Linked DNA regions of Lytechinus pictus. The protein of the gene in region 2 binds, or shares a complex with, the protein of the main gene of each other region. Links are inferred from orthologs where the notes say so. Each region holds a gene or a part of one and is shown on either strand. Other genes may lie near its edges.

Region 1 (7,287 bases), on a different chromosome or scaffold from region 2:
CCAGTTCTTTTTATATATTTTTATGAAATAAAGACAAGAATCGATGAGTCCCGGCATCGGAGGGATCACAGGCTTCACAGCTGGATTTTGCATTGTTAACCCCCTAATGGCGGCTGCACGATCGCGAGCCGTCTGTGTACGAGAATTAAAAAAAAATTAAAAATGTTAAAAAACTCCGCGAAACAGACTGCTGCCAGCTGTCTATATCAGTCCTACCTCGAGCGAAGTTCATGCAGGCTCCACTCCACTTCACATCCTCACACATATAAATAATTCGCTGCCGGTTTCAAAACATCGCATGCGCGAGGGTCCGAGCTTGGACCGGACCCGGCACCTCGCACATACAATGTATCGCATCCGCATGCGATGTTTTGAAATTGGCAGCGAATTATTTATGTGTGAGGAACTTCATGTTGGCTCTAAACTAAATCACCAATTTTGAGACTGATAGAAGCATGGAAAAGAAGTGAAACTTAGTGTAAAGTAAGAATATTATTATTAGTTTTATTGTTTTTATTAAATATCGTGATGTTGCATGAATTTTATATTTCCCCCCCATAAAACCCCACCTTTCATGTCCTTTGTCACTCGGAATATCAGATCGAGTTCACGGTCTCGAAGTTCGGGTTGGTGGAGCGTAGTGTAGCGGTAGTGGACTCTGTGGAGTGGAGCCTGCACGAACTTCGGGTTGGTGGAGCGTAGACGTACATGCATGTAGTGACTAGTGACTGTAGCTAGCGCCAGTAGCGGTAGTGAAGTGGAGCCTGCACTGCAGGCTGCACGAACTTCGCTCGATCGTATCAGACCACATGCATCAGTAGGCCTACCGAATTTGGAGCCCATTATCCAGCCTTTCACAAGCTTCATTCTCTCTCATTAGCCGACCCCCTGGCAAAAATAATCCGGAACGACCAGGCCATGCTGCATGCATGCATGTCGGGCGCGGCGCTTGCTGCAGGATCAGGAATAAATCCCAGCGCAATTTGTACCGGGTCCAGGCCGACTCTTCCCCGATCATGACGGCTAGAGTTTCGTCTAAATGGAGTCTCTGATCATGCCCGACAGGCGCGGCGCAGCGCGCACGCCTTATTACTTAGTTTTTTTTACCTTTCAGCTATGTATAATGTCCCCTTAGACAAGTCTTGTTTCTCCACGAAAGCAATGGTGTCATCTTTCTGCCACCTCACTGATGACTGTGGAGGTTGAATTGAAGCGATAAATCCCATCATTATTTCCCTTCTTTTTTTTCAAGACACCCGCGTGATGGCGATATCTTCATCGAATCGACTAAATTTCGTTGGGTTCATTCGACAGAGATGGCGCTGTGCCAAATAAGGTCCATGGCCATGGTTCAACATCGACCGTTCAATTCAATTTTTATTTTGGGGGTTTTCGGAAAAAAATGTAGATTTTTCATTGAAAGACTGTTTTGTGTGTGTGTCAGATATTAAAAGGTAAATTATTAGAGGCTTATTTTTTTATAAAACGTATGGATTTTTTTTTATAAAACGTATAGGACGTATAAAAGGCATAGGGGAGGGGTAAGGTACCGAAGAGGAGAAAAAATACCGAGGAGAAAAGGGGAGAGAAATGAATGAAGAAGAGAGAATAGTATGAAAATTAGAAGTCGTAGACACAAACTCGTCTCTATTTACCCATATAACTAAAAATGTCTCTAGAGAAAAGTATAGCCTAGGCTAGTAGAAATGAACGACAAGTGCCCATCATTAGCTTTCGATCAACTCACACTAGTCTTCCGCTGAGAGAACCCCGATCGATCTATTAAGTCATTTTTTTTAGTGAAAAATCTTTAAACATGGGGTATTGTATTGGGGTATCAGTTTGAGCTTGAAAATCTGTAAAGGATAAGCCCACCCCAACAAAAAGATGGTTTGAATAAAAAGAGAAAAATCAAACAGGTATAACAAATAAATTTTCATCAAATTCGGATGTAAAATAAGAAAGTTATAACATTTTTAAGTTTTGCTTAATTTCACGTAATAGTTATTCACATACTGGTCGGCATGCAAATGAGGGTACTGATGACCCCGGGCTGATGGCATCCACTCTTTTGTATTTCATTACATGGAATATGAAATATTCTAATTTTCTTCTCGTTGTCATGTGAAACAAAGTTTTATTCCTCCCTGAACATGACTGAGTAATTATCATTAACATTTTGTGATTCTATAACTATAGTAGGCCTATCAAGAGGGTCATTATTGTCAAATCTGCAAAAATTTAAATAGTTATTTTAAACAATAAAAAACAAAAGAAATAGTGAGTCAGGAACATCATCGACTCTCTCATTTGCATTTTAATGAGTTATTTATACAACTGTTTTGTGAAAAATATACGCGAAACTTTAAAGTGTCATAACTTTTTTATTTTATATCCGATCATTTGATGGAATTTTCAGTGTTATGCTTTTTTTATTTTTCTCTTCAAATTAACTTGTTTTTTCCTAGGTGAACTAGACCTTTAAACATACCTTGTAAATGATTTTGTCTTTTCGTAAATTTAACCCATTTAAGTCATTTTTTCCCAGTTTTCCAACAAACTTCAATTTTTGCGTCCGTCAGTAAACAATTTTTTTTTTAAAGTTACACATGCCATTACAAACGACTAGAACACAACATGGGTCTCTTTTAGGAAGAAAATCCGTAATAATAATGGGTACCCCCTTTCACAAAAAATAATTGAAAATAGGCACGAGTTTCAATTAAGGCTTCATCTGTACAACCCCTCCGGACCGATAAATCGTTGATTTGGCTCAACAGGTTGTGGAGGCTGAAAAAATACAATTATTTACTTTTTTCATATTTTTTTTCTTTATTTTATTTTGCCGGATCTCGTGATTATGAATTTTAACTATCAGTATCTTTAAAACCCCAACCTGAGAAACCAATTAATTGAATGCTTTATAAACATGATTTTGTACTCCATTTTTTTTCAGCCTCCACTTTCTTTTTCAATAAACGTATTTATTATTATTATCATCATCTCATTGGGATTTTTTTATTTTTTTAAATATACATATCTTCATTGAGCATTGAGAGTCAAATTAAGAGAATATGCAAATGATATGTTATACCAACCTGAATACAGACCGTGATCTTTTCTCCTCTGTCAGGTAATTTTATTTTACATAAATATGATTGATTTTTTTTTATAGATATGTATGTCCTTTTTTCTTTTCCTTATTTTTCTTTTATCTTTTTTCCTTCTATTCTCCTCTTCGTGTTGTTATTGTTGTTGTTCTACGTGTTCTTTTTCTTCCTTTCCTCCTCAATTCTTCTTCCGTAATTCTTCTCCTCCTCCTCCTTCTTCTTCTTCTTCTTAATTTCTTCTTCTTCCGTTCTTCTTCTTCTTCTCTTCTTTATATATTTTTCTTGTATATATCATCTCTATATCTTATTCATTGCTTAAAGTGAATTGTGATTTCCTTTTTGTGTGTAAATAGTATAAATTTACCTTTTATTATTTCAATTCTATTTTGGCCTACATATCGATCGAGGACCCCACTGGAAATAAGCTTTCGAGCTTTCGTGGGTCTTCCTTTGAAAGCCTTTAATGTTATTATGTTGTGGCCGGTGACTTACCAAGTAAAATTCATCCATCCATCCATCCAGTGGCGCTGGCGTACCTAGGATTTTCCACAGGGGGGGGGGGGGGGCAAATTCGTCCGCCAAAAAAATTTGACAAGCAAAAAAAAAAAAAAAAAAAAAAAAAAGGTCTTCAACCACAAATAAATGATTTTGTACCAGATAAAAATTTGACAAGCAAAAAAAAAGGTCTTCAAGACTCGTCAGGGGGGGGGGCAGGCATATGTCCCTTGCATGGGTTGTGACTCGTCAGGGGGGCAGTCTGCCCCCTCTGCCCCCCCCCCCCCCCCGTAGGTACGCTAGTGCATCCATCCATCCACCCATCCATCCATCCCCCATCCATCCGTCAGTCAATCCATCCATCCACCCATCCATCCATCCATCCATCCATCCATCCATCCCCCATCCATCCATCCATCAATTAATCAATCAATAGCCCCTCTCCCATGCCGATCGTGTGGCCGTGGGGACGGGGCCCTAATTCTGTGACTACTGTTTCTCGCTGATCCTCAAGTATCGCAATATGCATAGGACATAGCCCTTGAGAGAGGAATCAGCGAACCTCTTGCACACTTCACTGTTGATGTTGTCGACTTCCGCTAGCTGCGGATTATATTTTTAGGAGTGGCTTTTTGGCAAATTTTATCGATCACCGATGACAAAAACGTGAGTGTTTCTATCAACTTAATACTTGTTATTGAAAGCCTTTGATGTTGTGAGCTAGAATACTTTTAAACCACCAATTTCCAGTATATTTCCTATGTATTAGCAGTTCCTATAGTCAGAAATTGTATTTATTTATGGAAATTCTATCGCGCTCAGCATGAGTCAACGGAGAAGCAGTTAGCGAATGCAGCGGATTCTGAATGCTTCGCATACCGGAGTTGCCCCTAAGCACGTCGGCGAGTTAGAGGTCAAACCCGCTAGCTGAGAAACGTCTACTGCAGTGGTATCTGATTACAGTGCTGGGTAGCATGTATTTTAGACGTTTTCTTTACAATTATTGTAAATGATCAAATAGAAATTCCCATATGATGTAGGGCATGTAACTCTTAGCCTTTAGGACTAGTACTAGTACTAGTAGTAGTAGGACTAGGACTCACTATTTGTATAAAATTAAAAGTACTAGTGATGGCAGTGTATATAGGGCCTAGTAATAGTATTATTATTGCCTGACATGACACCTTTAATATTTTCAGTGCTTTAAAAATGACAACTAGAGGAAATGCAATCAAGAAAAATTCACGCTTGCTTTTCCAAATATTATGAAAATTATGAATATGATAACATTATTTTATATTTACCAACCTATTTCTTCGTATCGCACTTGCCGCATACCCCTCCACGAAAAACCATTATTTTTGTGCGCGACAAATTACATCATGATTCCGGACGCGCGCCGGACGGGTAAAGATATCCTTGATTATAATGATGTAAGAACAAATTTTTGTGATTTTTTTCTTCTTTTATCATATCATGAGTAAATTCTAAGTATTATTTGCTTTTTTTATATCGAATCTGAGCAGATGTTGGTAATAAATTCGTGTTTGATAACTTTTTGTCTTGTTAGCTGCATGTTCCATGGCACTTTCCAATAATAATATGCACGCGTTCGTATCGTGACGCTCATCAAGTTCTATCGATGCGCTGCCGATCGACGGCTCTACTCACGGTAAACCTCGCGCACGGGTACCTTGAGAACTAGCCGTCAACGATCACCCACAATGCCCCACACCTCGTCATTCGATCGAAGGAGTGGACGAGATTGAAATTCGGCAAATCAGGCCCATATTTCCGTTAGAAAATATATCAATTGTTAATACAAAACTATGTTATATGATATTTTAAGCATTTTCTGTAATTTTTAGAGATAATTAGGTAAAAGTTTGATTTTTTGCTTTGTTTTTGCAATCTTGTTCTATGTATTGCTCTGTGAAATTGAATTGCGGAAGTCTTACGGTACGAATTTGTTTTAGAACGCAGTGATACGCGCGTCCGGAAACATAATAGTGTCCGGTAATACAATACGTGACTATACTACTCAGTCAGACGGCAGGTCCCAAGAAAGTGGCTTCTTTCATCCAAGTGATAATTGATATTCATGACTTGAGATGTTTTGCATATTTAATGAGCTTGATGCGGACCAAAACACCTCTTTTCATTCGGTCTTTGCTGCTCTACTTGTGCATCGAATTTCATGAATTTGGTATCATTGTAAAGAAGAAGAATCATTCTTTTAGTTTTAGGTCATGTGTTTGAATTCATTCAAAGATTTTGTAATATACTGTAGGTTAAAATTTTGATCTAAAATATGCTACAAAATAATTATTTTCACATGAAAAAAGCTGCTTATTTTTGTTTGAGCCCAAATGATTTTTAGATCATGATAAAGCTGAATATGTATGCTTTAAAATGACATAGGTTTCAAAATAAGAATTGGTTTAATCGGGTCAAGATCACACTTTTCATTTGCCAAGTACATAAAGCAGCATGAAAACAAGAATACTGCACTCTGATTGGTCAAAGAGACCACACACTGGCAAATTCCAACGGTTCCAGTGCCTGGGTTCATGGGAAGGTCACACTTCCCATGTGGTAATCTCCTCAAATACCCCGCGCCTGTTGTTCTGTGAACCTTATCCAGCCAATCAGAACTCTGGATTTCATGCATGTACAAAATTTCAGAAATCTCGTCTTGTACCTTGGTGGGAAAAGTGTGATCTTGATCCGATTAAAAGGTGCCGCATATCAAGAGTGGCATTGTGAGAAAGTACAGAAGTTCAGCTTTATGGTGATATAGATATCATTGAGGCTCAAAATAAAAAGTTTTGCACAATTTGCAAAAGAAAACAGAGGAAGAAAATTCAGTTTTGAGGCACATTTTCAGGCCAGAAATTTACTTATTTAACAAAATATTGTATACAAAATAAATGACCAATATGAAAGAGTAACATTTACTCTATCTGATGGTGCAATAATATTTCATTTAACTTGAGGTTAAAACAGGTAAATTCTAAGAGAAAGAAAATCTCACGAATCACGAGATTTTGCAAGGAGGAGGATTCAGCCACGAGATGATTTGGATGAATCTGGCCTTTTTGCTCATTAGCATAGGGACCTGCGGTCTGACTGTACTGGTACTACTTTACTAGTAATAGGTACATTACATGTGATGTAGGGGGGTTAATAAGAACTGAACTAAAAAATAGGGCAGGCGGCAGTCACAATTTGTGTTGTCTTTTTGGTTGTGTTGCTGTCCATAATTAATAATCATCTAGACTATTAATAAAGTTACTGTCTACGTTAACTAGACTAAGACACATGTAGATCTAAGTCTAAGTGTTAAGTGTCGTACACGAAGATATCTACATTATTATATTATACATGTAGTAAATATACATGTTACTTCACATTATTAAAGGACAAGTACACCCCAACAAAAAGTTGATTTGAATAAAAAGAAAAAAAAATCCAACAAGCATAACACTGAAAATTTCATCAAAATCAGATGTAAAATAAGAAAGTTATGACATTTTACAGTTTTGCTCAATTTTCACGAAACAGTATACATGTATGCACATGCATCCTGGTCGGTATGCAAATGAGGAGACTGATGACGTCATCCACTCACTATTTATTTTGTATTTTATTATATGAAATATGAAATATTCTAATTTTCTCC
Region 2 (7,444 bases):
TAAAAGTAAAACGCCTTTTTGATGAGAGGATTGAACTCAAGCAGTAACCTTCCATAAAAACTAATTGCCCCACACAGACATCCTATCCAATTAAAGGGGAAGTTCACTCAAAAATCAAATTGGTTTTATAAAAAGAGAAGAGATAATAAACTCATTAATGAAAGTTACCAGAAAATCCACAACAAAGCTGTGGAATCTAAACTATTTGTATTTTGTGACGTCACATGCATGGAGCTACCCAATAAAATATAATATTTTATCAAAAGAAAATTATTTCTCATGTGCACTGACTTAATACATCATCAGATATATCATTTCATGTAGGGCCTACATGCTTTTGAGCGAGAAAATATTTCCAGTCATGAACCATTCAAAACTTCATAGGTTTCTTTTACTTTTCTAATATTTGGATATACTTTTTTTAATCTAAACTGACATAATACAAAGATGATTCCCCCACACCTTTAAAGGGGATTATAACTAACACAGTAGGCCTAATCTCTGTAACCTACATACAGTGAAAAGTAAAAAGGTACACTGAATCATCTAAATCATCATCTATTATTTACCTATACAATAAAATTTATGACTAGTCTATATTATCATAAGTTGGTTTTTGTAGTCACAGAAAGGATTCAAGGAACGTTGTGAAGCTTTGATTTATATTACCACTTTGAACCTGGGGGAAGGAATGGGACCTTGGCAGGATAATAAAACCTTTTCCTAGTTAATACTATTTGGATACATGATGACCTGATACTGTGAGTATGGGATACTTCCAAGGTAGTGGTTGTATGCTGGGCCCTACACTGTAAAAATGTTGTTTAAAATGTTAGCGTTGTTTTGATAAGCCTGTCACTCTAACAACTATTGATCAAATTTTTGAACAGATTAAGAAAGGTTTAAACAATAGTTATTGGAGTGACAAGCTTAAAATGTTTAAACAGCAATTTTACCGCATATATCTTTTTAACGGTGCATAAATGAATCTAGCGGCTGGGATTATATAGGCGTATGTGTGGTTAAGTGCTTCATAATTTGTTTGTTATTTCATATATAGCGCTACACCAACCCAGACTACTGCTATTAACAAATGGATACTCAACTAACACAACTTCACACAAAAAACATTCACAACGAGCATTAAAACGAGCATTAGAATAAGCAATTAGTTAACACTCAGCTGCTCAACAAAGCATTGCAAAGCAACATTCTTAATTTCAAATGACTGATTAATCATGAATTAAAAATGGTTAAAAATAAAGTCAAATTATCACATGGCAGACAAATGCATTAAAACAAAGAAAACATCATATAAACATTTACATACAATTACAAACAAAGTACAAATTATTATTTATTTTATCAAAATTTTATATAATGCATCAATGACATTTCTTTTCAAGTTGATTTTTTTTAAACAGAAAGAGATTTTCAATGCAAATATATTCAATCAGCCTTCATGGAGCAAGAGAAATTCATGCATAAGAATATATTCAAAACTATGTATAAGTAACAAATATCCTAGATTTAGGCCTAATGTATCATTCATTGCAGCATAATATCTAGATACAAGAAACAGTGCCAAAAAAAAATTTCATGCATATGTGGTGAGCCAAACTTTATTCTCAAAAGAATATTTAAGAAAATAAACAGAAGCAGACTTAAACAACTAATAAAATGCTTGCATGTCTATAAAATGAATATTAGAAATCAATCAAATTGCTGGTTTAGAGTAGACACAAAGCTGTTTATGCAGTATAATGAAAAATAATTTCTAGCCGCTAACAATGCTCAACATAATCGCAACAGAAATTGACAATGGGGTGCTTTAAGGTGTGTCCTAGAACCTATATCTGCAACAAAAGACTACTATCAACAGCATAGGAGTGGCTAGGACTAGTTCCCGTTGTTACTAGATTTCTTAAATATCAGAGTGTGATCTGTTTCCTTAAGTGCTAACAGGTACAGATGGGATTAAGTAATGGTTGTACTTACAGCATCCAAGTTCATCAGATCTATCGGCGCAATCGTAGTAACCGTCGCATATTTGGGTGGTATCAAGGCAGCTTCCGTCAGGACATCTATCCTGGCCAAACGCACACCTTGGTGGGCATCCTTCCTCCTCGGACGGCTCCGGACAGTGCAAGACACCGTCGCAACGGAGGTTAAGGGACATGCAGATCCCGTAGTAAGAGCAGTAAAACTCTCGACTGAGATCGCATTCCGGTCCTGGTTGGGTGATCGCTTGCGTCGAGACGAAAGGCGTGGTAGAGGTCCCTAGAATAACTGCACAGAAAACAATAGAAATCATGGAGGGCATCAAATGAGTATTCTGATCCATGGTTGGTTGGTTTAATTCTCTTTAACAAAATTCTTTGAGTCTCCTTAATCAAGTAAAAAGGCAACACATGCGCAACTACTGACAAGTTGTTCCACGTTGCGTGTTCATTCTGTTGCCATCACCAAAACAGACCAGTGATGCAAGGGATTCCTTCGGAGCAGCAGATGACAAAACAAGAATAAATCGTGAGGTTTTCCTGGATCAGAAAATGGAAACTGACGTGGATAATCCCGGGGAAATCCGCAAGGTTTCGGTTCACCAACTTGACTTTGAGCTGGAGGTCTGGACGGAACCTAGAAGCTCCCAAGCCAACATTCCAAAGGCTTGGCCGTCTGAGCCCGAGGTATGTATCCTAATCCTCTTTAACTGATAAATGTATCAGTCAATGTTCCATTAAGCATCAGACCATGAAATACTGCCTCCACGGCTCAACAGAGGAGAGAGACCGAGAGAGATGGCGAAAATCAGTATCACTTAATTTTCTTCCAAATCAGCCTCAGTCAGGAAATCATCATCTACAATCTTTTTAGAATAAAATCCACTCTATGTCCATCAACTCCAGTGCTACCCCTCTTTCTCTCCAACTATCCTCCTTCCCTACTGTTCAATCCAGCACCCTCTTCACTCCACGGCGCTGTGCAGTGTACTCCAAAAAAAGTTTTGGCACCAAACTAAACCCCTCGGATCCACAGAAGATTCTACTTTTCCAGACCCATTTCCTCAACTTTGTTCACCATTGTGAATTACTAGCATTTTATGATCTAAGAAGTTGTAAGCGTGGGTAAGAATCACTTCACTGATAATGATTGCCATTATTACAAATACTTGTATACTGCAATTCCTCATGGATATTGAGTTAGAAATATACTCAGAGAAGTGTAGCGAAAGTATTCAGACAATAGAAGGAATGGGTCTGAATAACAAGACTAGCTTAGAGTTAAATTTCAGAGGAAAGAGGGCAGGCTTTCTCTTTGACAAGTTCATAGACCATGGGGTAATGCCTGTCATGCAACTTAGCGACAAGAGAATGGACATGAATGGAATAAATATTTCTTTGCCTAGAAAAAAGTGAGGATGTGGCTTGATGTAAACATGGCGTGAAATAAACTAATTTGACTTGGAGGATGGAGGGTGAGTGGTAGCAAGGGGTGAGTGGTAGCAAAGGTGGAGAGGGAGTGGTAGCAAAGGTGGAGAGGGAGTGGTAGCAGGGTGGTGGGTGAGGGGTAGCAAGGGTGGAGGGTGAGTGGTAGCAAGGGTGGTGGGCGAGTGGTAGCAAGGATGGTTGAAGAATGGAAGCAAAAGGGGAAGGGTGAGCGGTAGCAAGGGTGGAGGATGAGTGGTAGCCAGGGTGGAGGATGACCAGTGGCACTAGCAGGGAGGGACTTAGGGGGAAAATCCTCAGGAGGGGACTGGAAAGAGTAAATAGATAGCTAGATCTAAATAAGGGGTAAAAGAAAGAGGATTTAAATTGGAGGGGAGGGGTGACTTAAAGCAAGGGTGCACATGATTTGTAGGGCCATTTGAGGGCGGTGTAGGGTTCACTCAAGCCAACAAAGTCGCCATAGACGAGACAGGGGTGTAGATAAATAACAACAGGAGAGAGAAAGAATTGTCTTTAGTTCAAGGTGACTGAAAGAAAAGGAGTCTGGTAGGGAAAAAGGGGATCTAGTGTTGGGGTGCCCTTGACCAGTCATCTTTCAAAAATCTATTGACTAAGTTAGCAAGCAAATTCTATGGGCGTATGAGAACTTTTGAAAGAAAATACATTAATATGAAAAAAATATTGTAAATTACAAACCCCCTCCCCTCTCCTCCCTTCCAGCCCAGTTTAAAATCATTCAGGTTTGTCAAAATCCTTTACAGCCCCCATCACACTTATTCGGAATCAGCAGGAATCAAGCAGAAGCTGGAAAGAAAAAAATATTCAAAAAATTTAGAAATTTTTGGGAGGAACTTATGAATTCACCAAACTGGAGTTGAAATTCAGTAAATTGACCAGGTGTATCATCATACACTAGTCAAAATGAACCACAATAGAGTCAGATTGATAATTCGTGCTACGTTCTTGGACATTCTAGGGGCATTCTAAATATCCTGACTGCATTCTGAGTGCATTCGAAATATTTTTGTCATTTCTTTTGGCCGTCCCAAAGGTTTTGGTCATGTTCAAAACATTCGAGGGATATTTTCGAACGGTGTTCGAAGTAGATTTAAATGACCAACTGGTGGTCAAACAATAGTCCTTTCATTCAGGCCAATTCTGCTTGATTCGGAGTAAGTGTGATGGGGGCTTACCGTTTGGAATTAGGTCGGACCTGAACCAACTCTGCCCAGCCAAATTTTTTTGACACAACAGACATTGTGGATGGTCAACACCCTATCACATCTAACTTTTGGCCAACCAAAATATCCATTTGGCTAATCAAAACTCTTTGCCAGCCTAAAGGCTCTAGATTTGAAGTGGGTAGGTCTACAATAACAGTTCATTGAACTACACGGCCCAGGTGTAGAAAGGTGGCAGTGGATATTGGTATTAAATCAAGTCCTGCCCTGGTGTGGTCCCCTGTTTAGTCAGGTGTACCTTCGGTATCTGGTGTACAACTGAAGTATTACAAAGAGTTGCAATTGATCCGATCAAACACAAATACGGAAAGCCAGCAATGCCAACATCAAAAATGAATGTTGTTTAAAATGTTTTCTAGACATGAGGTACATGATACATATTACAATTATCACTGTCTTGACAATTCAGTGTTTCCTCTTTGTTTATAAAAGGATATTGGAAACATTGGAAAAGGAAAAATTATGACAATGATGGATTTCCATATACATGAAGTTGAGGTTGAATGAATGAATGAATCAATCGCAACTCTTTGTAAGACAGGGCCCATGTATCCTTCAGCAGTCTGAAGATGGAATTCCATGTTAACATAATGGATATGATAACACTTTCGGATGCAAACAGAGTTTTAACAGACACAAAGGCCAGAATTCAAAAAGGTGGTTTTGAAATCCATCGGTTTAACCCATGGTTTAAGCAGATTTCCTGTATAAATTACGCTTATTTACCGCGTATATTATAAAATGTCCAATGCTGAAGCACGCTTTTGTCACAGTGAGCAAATCTGACACATGTTGCCATTGTTAAGTACGCTATTTTATTCACGAGTCCACTGTTTGAAGAGTGGACTCATTAATTCAAAACAGTGGACTCATGAATAAAATAGCATACTTAACCATGGCAAGATGCGTCAATTTGGCGCACTGTGACAAAAGCGCGCATCAGTATTTGACGCTTTTCAATAAACGTGGTAAATAAGTATAATTTATACAGGAAATCTGCATAAACCATGGGTTCAACCGATGGTTTTCAAAACCACCTTTGTGAATTTGGGCCAAAGAATATGTTAATTAAAACTATGTTCGTAATACTCTATACTTTTAGTAAGTATCTGTTTAATGATGCTCATTTCAGCAGTATCATAGTCCCATGATACCTACAGAGACCCTAACTACACCCTAACATTAAACCAACATTACAGGTTATTTGAAGTCTCGAAGTCTAGAAGTCTTAGAAAAGTTTGATCATATATATAATAAGTTCTGATTGAGAGACAAAGGATCGTACAGAGAAACAACTTACAAACATGATTTTTAAAAGCCGATTCACAGGTTTTCTATAAAACCAGGGTTGGCCAGAGTGGAAAATACAAGGTGGTTAATACCGGTAAATAATGCTTAATTACCTAAGATAATGTGAAATAGTTTCAAATGCAGGGAAATACTACAAAATATACTTCTTGGATATTTTCAAGTATTGCCCACTGGTGTTTCTCAAGCATATTCTAGCCTTTCTCTCTATACCTCCCTGTACATCTGAAGTACTTCCAAGCATTTACAAGTATTTTCCAGTATTTTCCACCAGGGGGGTGTTTCACAAAGATCTAAGTATGACTTAAGTCGCACTTAAATGTCGACACGTACATGATATGCAACGTGCAAACTTATTGATCAATACGCAGTAGTGCACGTCCTCTTCGCTTGATCTGACCAATACGGTCATGCCTTTTATACTGCGCGCAACTAGACCTTTAAGTGCGACTCTAAGTCATACTTAAATCTTTGTGAAACACCCCCGTGGTGGGAAATCCTGGGAAATTGCCCATCCCGTATAAAACTAAATTTTTACATCAATGTAAAAATTATGAACGCCAAGTTATGAATTACAATTGTAATTCATAATTTGGCATTAACAGTATCTGAATTCATTCCCTGCTAAGATCCATCCATCCACCCTACCCTTTCCTCTTATCCAAATGTGAAAACGGAAAACTAAATCATCCTCTGATCCCAAACTCGACTCATGTTGAAAGTCAGGGATATTATTTTCATAAGCAAGGGAGTATATATGCACGGGGTCACTTGTTCGTCACCTAAACAACAAGGCCCGGAGCTACGGGGACAATTGGGGTCTAGATGGTTCAACATCACGAGGAATGCTACACCATCGGCGCAGACCTTGTTCCTCTCGTGCATGCCTCCGCAAAGACCATAGAACCAAAAGATACCACACTCGAAAGTACGATGTAATTTCATTTTGAGGGTGCAAGGATTCAACTTTGTGCCCAAAATAACAGCAATATTCAACATTTACATAACACTTTCTACAAATGTTTCAAAGTGTTGCAAATCATTACCCCAGCTTTAGCACAGCTACACTGATCAGACCTTTGAACATTTTAATAATTTTATTCCTGCAGGGTAACTTAATTGTTCACTACACCAGGGTGGAGAGTGGCAAGTGTAGATAAATGCCTTAGGGTCATTTGTTGGCTCTATGCAATGTAACTCAGAGCTACAATGTAATGCCACGATCAAACAACATGATGCCGGCATAATTCATTTTGAAAGTGCTTTCTGGGAATCGTATGTGACAGGTGCAACAGGTACATTACACTTAAAATGAGTTTTTAGAGAATCACATTCTTACACCCTACATTTATACCTCTTTCTGATCATAATAACTTTGAATGCAGCCCTTGTGTCCTTTGGCAAGGCATTTATCTATACATCTGCCACTCTCCACACAAATGTACTAAG

The links.
Region 1: basement membrane-specific heparan sulfate proteoglycan core protein-like (region 2) and LIM and senescent cell antigen-like-containing domain protein 1 share a complex: the UniProt entries of both Caenorhabditis elegans proteins name them as parts of the integrin containing attachment complex. The link is inferred for Lytechinus pictus from reciprocal best matches to the Caenorhabditis elegans genes unc-52 and unc-97.

Annotation. Positions count from the first base shown.
Region 1 is NC_087260.1:17,722,889-17,730,175, reverse strand, and holds the start of LIM and senescent cell antigen-like-containing domain protein 1, read left to right. Parts: upstream 1-4,068; 5' UTR 4,069-4,260; coding exon 4,261-4,271; intron 4,272-7,287. Other genes in the region: methylosome subunit pICln-like, read right to left, coding at 1,108-1,229. UniProt on the Caenorhabditis elegans protein: Component of an integrin containing attachment complex, which is required for muscle development and maintenance. Probably function in adherens junction.
Region 2 is NC_087258.1:16,588,902-16,596,345, forward strand, and holds the start of basement membrane-specific heparan sulfate proteoglycan core protein-like, read right to left. Parts: upstream 3,158-7,444; coding exon 3,092-3,157; intron 2,711-3,091; coding exon 2,608-2,710; intron 2,290-2,607; coding exon 1,999-2,289; intron 1-1,998. UniProt on the Caenorhabditis elegans protein: Component of an integrin containing attachment complex, which is required for muscle development and maintenance. Probable structural role in myofilament assembly and/or attachment of the myofilament lattice to the cell membrane.